Linked DNA regions of Schizosaccharomyces pombe. The gene in region 1 interacts genetically with each later gene. Each region holds a gene or a part of one and is shown in the gene's direction. Other genes may lie near its edges.

Region 1 (3,965 bases):
TTGTGACCGAAGACTGGAAACTATATTTGCGATATTATCCACCTCAAATTTCGAAGTTGAAGTAGAGTCATCTGTTTGAGATAAAATCTCAAATAACGCCATGAAAGTTCCCGTTCTGCCACAACCCGCTGAACAATGGACTATAATGGGTGCTGTTTCAAAGTCCGGAGAATATGAGAGACTTTTTATATAGCGAGTCAGTGATAGTAGTGAGAAGGTATGTGGTGCACCAAAGTCAGGCCAACCGTTATAGTAAAAATGCAAAATTTTTTTCTTGACCCCGTCCTTGTTCAGCTCAAATTCACGAACTTGAACTTCATTTAATGATGTCAAAGTATAAACTTTTACCAAAATAACGCTTAAATCACCGATATTAAGTGTCTCAAACAGTTCCACTGGCCAATAGATATCACATTTCAGACGATGGCGTTCCCTCAATTTGGTAAGCATAACGATGATGCCTGATTTTGGCACAGATTGCCAGACCATCTTCCAAAAAACATCAATACTGTTCGACGTTGGACCCTATATAAATAAAGAAGACTAAGTTAGTAATTATGTTACAAAAAATGATGAAAAGAAAAAAGGCCAAAGCCGTTTACAATCCCGCAATTTCTTTTTATTCCTAACCTGAGTAGCGATAAATGTTTTCCCAGAAGGGATTTTTACTATGGAAGCATTAATGTAATCACATGCTTCTTTCCACATTGGATCTAAACGAACACGAGTATTTTCATAAGGGACTATGTTGGAGTATCGGTTTCTAGCCAGCGCTTTCTTACTTAGCTTTGGCAACCTAGTATTTAACAGCTCTATCTCTTCCTCATTGAGTCCCTCAATAATCATGTACGCTTTTTCTTTTATTGTGATCAAGGGTGTTAGAACACCATTTTCTGTAGATACTTCTTTAAAAGACATATTGATTTTTTGCGTTTATTCGCTTTTAAACTTCTCACCGAAGTATTTTTTTGTGTCTATCAAAAAGAAAGAATAATTTCTACTAAACGACTTTAAATGATTCCTAAAACCATGACAGAAGTCAGTAAAAAAGAGAAGTATAATTGTTTAATAAATCATCATTGTACGGCCCCCACATAGCGCTAGTTTCTAGTTGTAGTCGTAATCTAGTTCACGTTCACATTCACTTCGTAGGACTAGGCCCAGAGTATTTGCGAATGTCTATGTGGGGGTAACTCGAACCTTTACGAAGCCGGTAGTATGAAGAACAAGCTATATGTGGGATACTTTTATAGGTTGTAAACAACTGTATTGATGATAGTGAATAAAATGATTTAAACGCACTTATGTTCTCTCCAAGGACTTAATCGATCTGCTATACTTTTACTTTCAAAAACAAAAATATTTAAAGTGTAGAGAAAAGTTTTGACGTTTCTTATATAAGGCCAAGTATTATAATACTTGCTCAGCAATTGTTTCATTAAATGCCTGTTTGAATGTCGCCATTGTTCTTTAGGAGTTGTGTTTGACTCGTTTGACTCCCTTACTTGGCTTCTTTGGTTTTAATGTAATTTGTAAAGATTTCTTTGAATGAAAACGTGCCTAAATTGGTTTTAGGTGTTCTTTCTTCTAAGGTTTCCAATAACTTTAACTCAGAATTAGTAAAAATCATTAATTGTTAACAAAAGCTTATGACAGGTTTTTTCTATTCTTTTTTTTTGAATGTTCGCTTAAGAAAAGTCATATGTAAACATCAACGAAGCCAGCTTGGATATGTTTATGATTTCTCCGGTAATAGCAGTTGAAATGCTATAAACTAACAAATTATTCATTTAATAAGAAAATCAATAATTTACTCGATGTTTAATATTATTTGCTTGGAATGCTCAAATTGGATGAAATGAGACTATAAACAACAAAAAAACAATCGTCGTCAAACTATAATGCTATATAATTAAATTATAAACGTTTACTTTCCACTATTTACTATTTCATAATTTTTGTTATATATCCATCCACCCTTTTACCAAAGCACATCAAAAGTGTCTTTGCTGGTATAGTTCTATGAATGCGTCTAATAACATTTCAAAATTTCCTGATTTAGATAATTCTTCAAAATTAATTGACCACATACTTGATAGTGATGATTCTGAAGAGTTGGACGAGCTTCCTGATATCTCTTCTTTGGTGCCTTCGGCAAGAGCCCAATCGCGAAAACAGTATTTGAAAAATGATTCTTCTAATTCATCTACATACAGATGGAATATTGATCTTCTTTCTAGTACTGCTACAATTGACGATTCGGTTGCAAAAAGAAGAAAATTAGCAGTACAAAATTTATTGCAATATGACAGCACTCAAACCTTTCAAACGGGAGATGAAATTGATGAATTAATAGGAAAAAGTGTTGGATCAAATGTTTTGAATGTTCTACGTTCTAACCCTATTTATGATGACGACCTTAGGTACGAATATTGTAGCAATTCAAAAGCTCGTGTTCCAGACTGGAACACCCTGAAAGCAGAATGCTTGAAAGATAACGATTTGGAGTTTAATGAAGGAATTATACCAACAACTTTTGGTGATTTATTATCGGCAAAATTGGTCCCCTTAGATATTGCATTGTCAATATGCAGCTTGCAATTTTTCCGCTCTTTAGGAGACACAACATGCTCTGAATGGATTGCTAACCTAGAAAAGATTTTTTATAGCTATAAAAGCAGCTCTAATAATCTCAACCAAATTGTACGATTTATTTTTGAGACTACTGCAGATATGATTGGCATTGATTTAGCGAAACGACAGGTACCAATCCAGTTGGAACGTACGTCAGCCTCAGAAAATTTAAAAAGCAATTTGAAAATTAAGGTAATTAATTTCCTAAAATGCTGTGGAACTTTGTATCGGTTCTCCGACGACACTGTTCGCTTTGAAATGATTCAGGATGCATGTCGAATCTTAATTGACAATCAAGTGGGCTCATTTTGTAAATGGCAATTTTCTCAATTCATGGAACTTCCAATATCATTGAATCCAGATTTTTTGATCAGTAATATTCATAAGGTGTCTGAAAGTCCTAGAGTTTGGGTTACAATACTATCTTCTTTGTCTCGTTCCTGCCAAAAATTCAGAAAGAAGATTGCTTTTACATTATTTGTTGGGAAACAAAGTAAAAATGATGATTCAGACTTTTCTTCTTTATGTCAACGACTAGATGAAATTTCCGCTTCCTGTAATAATGACTATACAACTTTATTGTACCAGATTCGTACCTTCGGATATGCGGTGGATGAAAAGCATTTTAAAACTAATGAGCGCTTAGAGTGCTTACTGGAAAAATTACGAAAAATAGATTTAACAATATCTGGTTCAACAGACCATTTGCTACTATCGAGATGTGAAGTTAAAGATTGCATACATAGACTTTTTATGGTGCTTTACTATTTAAATACAAACTCAGCACCAGAATTGGAGAGGATTATTGAAAGTGACTTGCCCAATAATAATAAACAAAAGGACAGGTATTTCAAGGATAAAACTTCTAACTTATCGATGAAAGAAAACAAAAGCTTTTCAGCTAAAAAGGTGAAGAAGGGAAAAAAGAAAAATAAACGGCAAGCGTACAAAAGATAAACAATCAGTGTATTTATTAATATTAATTTCAGTGCTGGCGCAAATTCAACAAATTGTATAATACTTTCTAACTAAGAAATCCATAGTTTAATTTAAAAGAAAGTTACTTATTATAATTCCCTTGGAATTACAAATGGACAGAAAAGAAGAAAGAAGTTACCATCTTTTACGATAGTCAAAACTTAGCATCCATTGAAAGATATTGTATCCACTTGATTAATAGAAAGCAGCTATGGGAATAATTTATGATAAGAATCAGCAGAAATCATACACAATCCACATTTAAGAAAACAATGGAAGCCGAACTTGCGATCATTTAGCCTGAAGCATTAAATACTTGGATGAAGCAAAAATTTGAAACAAGTTATAGATAA
Region 2 (3,600 bases), 3.2 Mb from region 1:
GAAAGCAAAGGAATTTTCAGGCTTGCCATCGGGGATCTTGTAAATGCGGAACCACTCGTTAGTAGCACGGATTAAGCCAGGCATATGACGTTCAACATCCTCAATATCATTAAGCTTAGGAGCTAAAGGGTCATTAACGTCGATGACAATAACCTTCCAGTCAGTCTCACCCTCGTCAAGAAGGGCCATAACACCCAAGACCTTAACTTGCTTGACTTGGCCGGTGTAGCCACGAGCTTCACCGATCTCACAAACATCGAGAGGATCGCTATCACCCTTGGCCTTGGTTTCAGGATGAACAACATTAGGATCCTCATAGGTTTGAGGAAAAGCACCGTAGTTCCAAATGTAACCGTGGTGAGGAAAGCAGTTACGAACGAAACGAAGCTTACCCTTCTTAGTATCTTGCTTGATAGGGTTCAAGGTAGCTTCCTTGGTAATTTCAAGCTTAGCCTGAGTCCAACGAGGGATCTCAACGACCATGTTCAAGATGGTCTTCTCAGCATTGGCATACAAGGGGATATCGTGCCAAGAAGAGATAGGAGTACCATTTTTCTCAACATAGACTTGGTAGTCCAATGTGTTCAAAGCGCCAACTTCACGGGTAGTGTATTCACTCATGACTGAAAAGTGTTTTTGGTTAAGTACAGGTTGCAATGTGCACTAATTCGCAACATCTGCTACAAAATTTGTAACTCAATGTATACAAAAAATCTTATATTAATTTATAAAATTTTCTAAGGAACAGGTTTATATTTTTAATATCGCATGTTTTTATTTTATACAGCATAAAGATGGATTTGTGAATCTTACATAGGGTAATACTGTTATAAAGTTACTTTCTTTAGCAATACTTTATTAAATGATTGATAGTAAAGGAGATTTCCACAACATGATAAAAATTTAGCACAAATAAATTATTAAAATTAAATTGTTTTACGAGAATTTATCAATTTTTTATATTAAACACAATCAAAGATATTTATTAGCCTTGTATGCAGGTTTCTTTTCTGTCGATATGGATCTTGTGGAATACTGATTTTGCGATCAGTAAATTCTTGGCTGATGCAGTAGAAGCCATAATGTTTATATAAAAATATACGAAATATTTAAATTAATTAATTATGGAAATTTTTGTTTTTAAATTCCAGATCAGCTACTAAAAAAGATAAATGACAAACGAAAAAATAATGCAAAAAAAAGCTCATACATAAAAACAAAATATTGCCGATGTCCTTCATTTTTTGTTTAAAAATAAACGGTTTAATTTTAAACGATACCAAAAAAAAAAAACTAATGTTCGTAAATAACGAGATATGCAATTGTTAATGAATAAGATGTAGGTCTCAAATATGTTATTTGTGAAATCTTTGAATGGTTGCCAAATAATAAATTAGACGAATAAATTAAAGAATTTTCTTGTTATTTATTGTCTAAATTTCTTCGAATAAGAATTATTTTCAAGTCAGTAAACATATTAAATCTTCGATTAAGGACTATATGATATAATATATCTTCTCACTAATTGTTGTATATGAGGCATTTTATGTAATTGATCAAAAACAATTGAAAATTCAATAGAGCGAAAAATAAAATTTTCATCTGTTATCCATTTTTAAGTATGTTATTGAAACCACCCATTTTCATTGCTATGCAATTATAATATAGCTAACTCAATTACCAAGTCCCATTTAGTATTTCGTCAATCGCGATGTCGTCGAAAAAAAGAAAGTCTCCCCCCCAGGAATCTTTAACTTCATATTTTGAAAAATCGTCTAAATCCTCAAAAAAGTACGGCTCTCAAAACAAAGATTCTGATTCATCCTCGACATGCCTTCAACAGAAAATAGAAATTCAATGGAGCATCACCGATTCATTATACATAGCAAAGTATGGAAAACTAAAAAAGACTAAAAAATTTATTGCATTTGATTTAGATGGAACGCTCATAAAAACTAAATCTGGTAGAGTATTTTCAAAAGATGCAGCTGACTGGACCTGGTGGCATCCAAGCGTTGTCCCAAAATTGAAGGCTTTATACCAAGACAATTATTCTCTTGTTATTTTCAGTAATCAAAACGGAATTCCAAGAAAACCTTCTGCCGGACATACCTTTCAGATGAAGATTCGTGCTATTTTTGAGTCATTAGATCTACCTATTGTATTGTATGCTGCCATCTTGAAAGATAAGTTTAGAAAACCATTGACAGGAATGTGGAATTCCTTTTTAAAAGACGTGAACCGTTCAATTGGTGAGTTGACGCTTGTAATTTATCAAGGCCTATTAACATTTTTCACCCTTTAGATTTATCTTTCATCAAATACGTAGGTGATGCTGCAGGCCGTCCGGGTGATCATAATTCAACTGATTTAAAGTTTGCTGAAAACATTGGGATTAAATTTGAGACGCCCGAGCAATTTTTCTTGGGGCATTCATTTGTGCCTCCAAACTTTGAATCATTTCATCCAAAGAATTACCTTGTAAGAAATTCTTCTTCACATCCATACCATTTTAAAAAATCCGAGCATCAAGAAATTGTTGTTTTAGTTGGGTTTCCTTCTTCTGGGAAGAGTACTTTAGCTGAATCTCAGATTGTCACTCAAGGATACGAAAGGGTAAATCAAGACATCTTAAAAACGAAATCAAAATGCATCAAGGCTGCCATAGAGGCACTTAAAAAAGAAAAATCGGTTGTCATAGGTATGTACTCGATCATTTCAACGACTTACGCGATTTCAGACAACACAAACCCTACAATAGAATCACGAAAAATGTGGATTGACATAGCCCAAGAATTTGAGATCCCTATACGCTGCATTCATCTTCAGTCATCTGAGGAACTTGCCAGACACAACAACGTTTTCCGTTACATTCACCATAACGTAAGTTACCTGTTGGAGCATTAGAAAGACTTAGAAGAATTCCTAACCAATTCTAGCAAAAACAACTTCCCGAGATAGCGTTTAATTCTTTCAAATCTCGTTTTCAAATGCCAACAGTAGAAGAAGGTTTTACAAATGTTGAAGAAGTTCCTTTTAAATGCCTTAAAGACTATGAAGATACATGGAATTATTGGTACGAATAATACGAATGATATCTAAGAAATTATTAAATTGCATTAATTTCAAAAATATATAGTTATTGATCCCACTAAAACCAAACGTTTATAAAAATTATGACTAGCACACTTAACACCGAAATTTATCTTCAAAGCTTTAGCTGATTTGAAGAAACAATCGGATGATATTTGTTTGAATTACTTGCAACCTTTTTGCGCTCACCTCCTTTACCAATGACCTCAACATTCGATTTTGATAATTGACGAACGACTTGTTCAGTACCGGAATTCCTTCTTTTCTCAGCCATTTGCTTACGTTTCTCAGCATGTTTTCTACGCACCCGCCTGCGGCGTGCTTGCTTTTGTTGGTGGTCCATTTCAGTCGATGAAATGGCGATACCTGACCGAGTAATAGTTTCACCTTCACGATTCTCATTAGACGGTTTATAAACTTCTTGAGGAGCCAATGCCATAGTGTCAGAGGCAGCAGTTGGCTGAACGTCCTCCATTGCTAAAGTGGGTGCATTAGAAACAATTTCAA

What was found. A genetic interaction does not mean that the proteins touch.
Region 2: mutations in nse6 (region 1) and pnk1 impair growth when combined (synthetic growth defect), as found in Schizosaccharomyces pombe (2 studies listed by BioGRID, with this or other methods).

What each region holds. Positions count from the first base shown.
Region 1 is NC_003424.3:5,295,791-5,299,755, reverse strand, and holds nse6 (Smc5-6 complex non-SMC subunit Nse6), read left to right. Parts: upstream 1-1,975; 5' UTR 1,976-2,022; coding exon 2,023-3,591; 3' UTR 3,592-3,707; downstream 3,708-3,965. Other genes in the region: protein tyrosine phosphatase Pyp3, read right to left, coding at 1-525, 631-918. UniProt on the Schizosaccharomyces pombe protein: Acts in a DNA repair pathway for removal of UV-induced DNA damage that is distinct from classical nucleotide excision repair and in repair of ionizing radiation damage.
Region 2 is NC_003424.3:2,137,550-2,141,149, reverse strand, and holds the start of pnk1 (DNA kinase/phosphatase Pnk1), read left to right. Parts: upstream 1-1,682; 5' UTR 1,683-1,711; coding exon 1,712-2,252; exon of another isoform or gene 2,253-2,275; intron 2,276-2,305; coding exon 2,306-2,701; intron 2,702-2,740; coding exon 2,741-2,883; intron 2,884-2,939; coding exon 2,940-3,086; 3' UTR 3,087-3,208; coding exon of another isoform or gene 3,209-3,600. Other genes in the region: ipp1 (inorganic pyrophosphatase), read right to left, coding at 1-621; mpp10 (U3 snoRNP-associated protein Mpp1), read right to left, coding at 3,209-3,600. UniProt on the Schizosaccharomyces pombe protein: Catalyzes the phosphorylation of DNA at 5'-hydroxyl termini and can dephosphorylate its 3'-phosphate termini. Has a role in the repair of breaks in single-stranded DNA.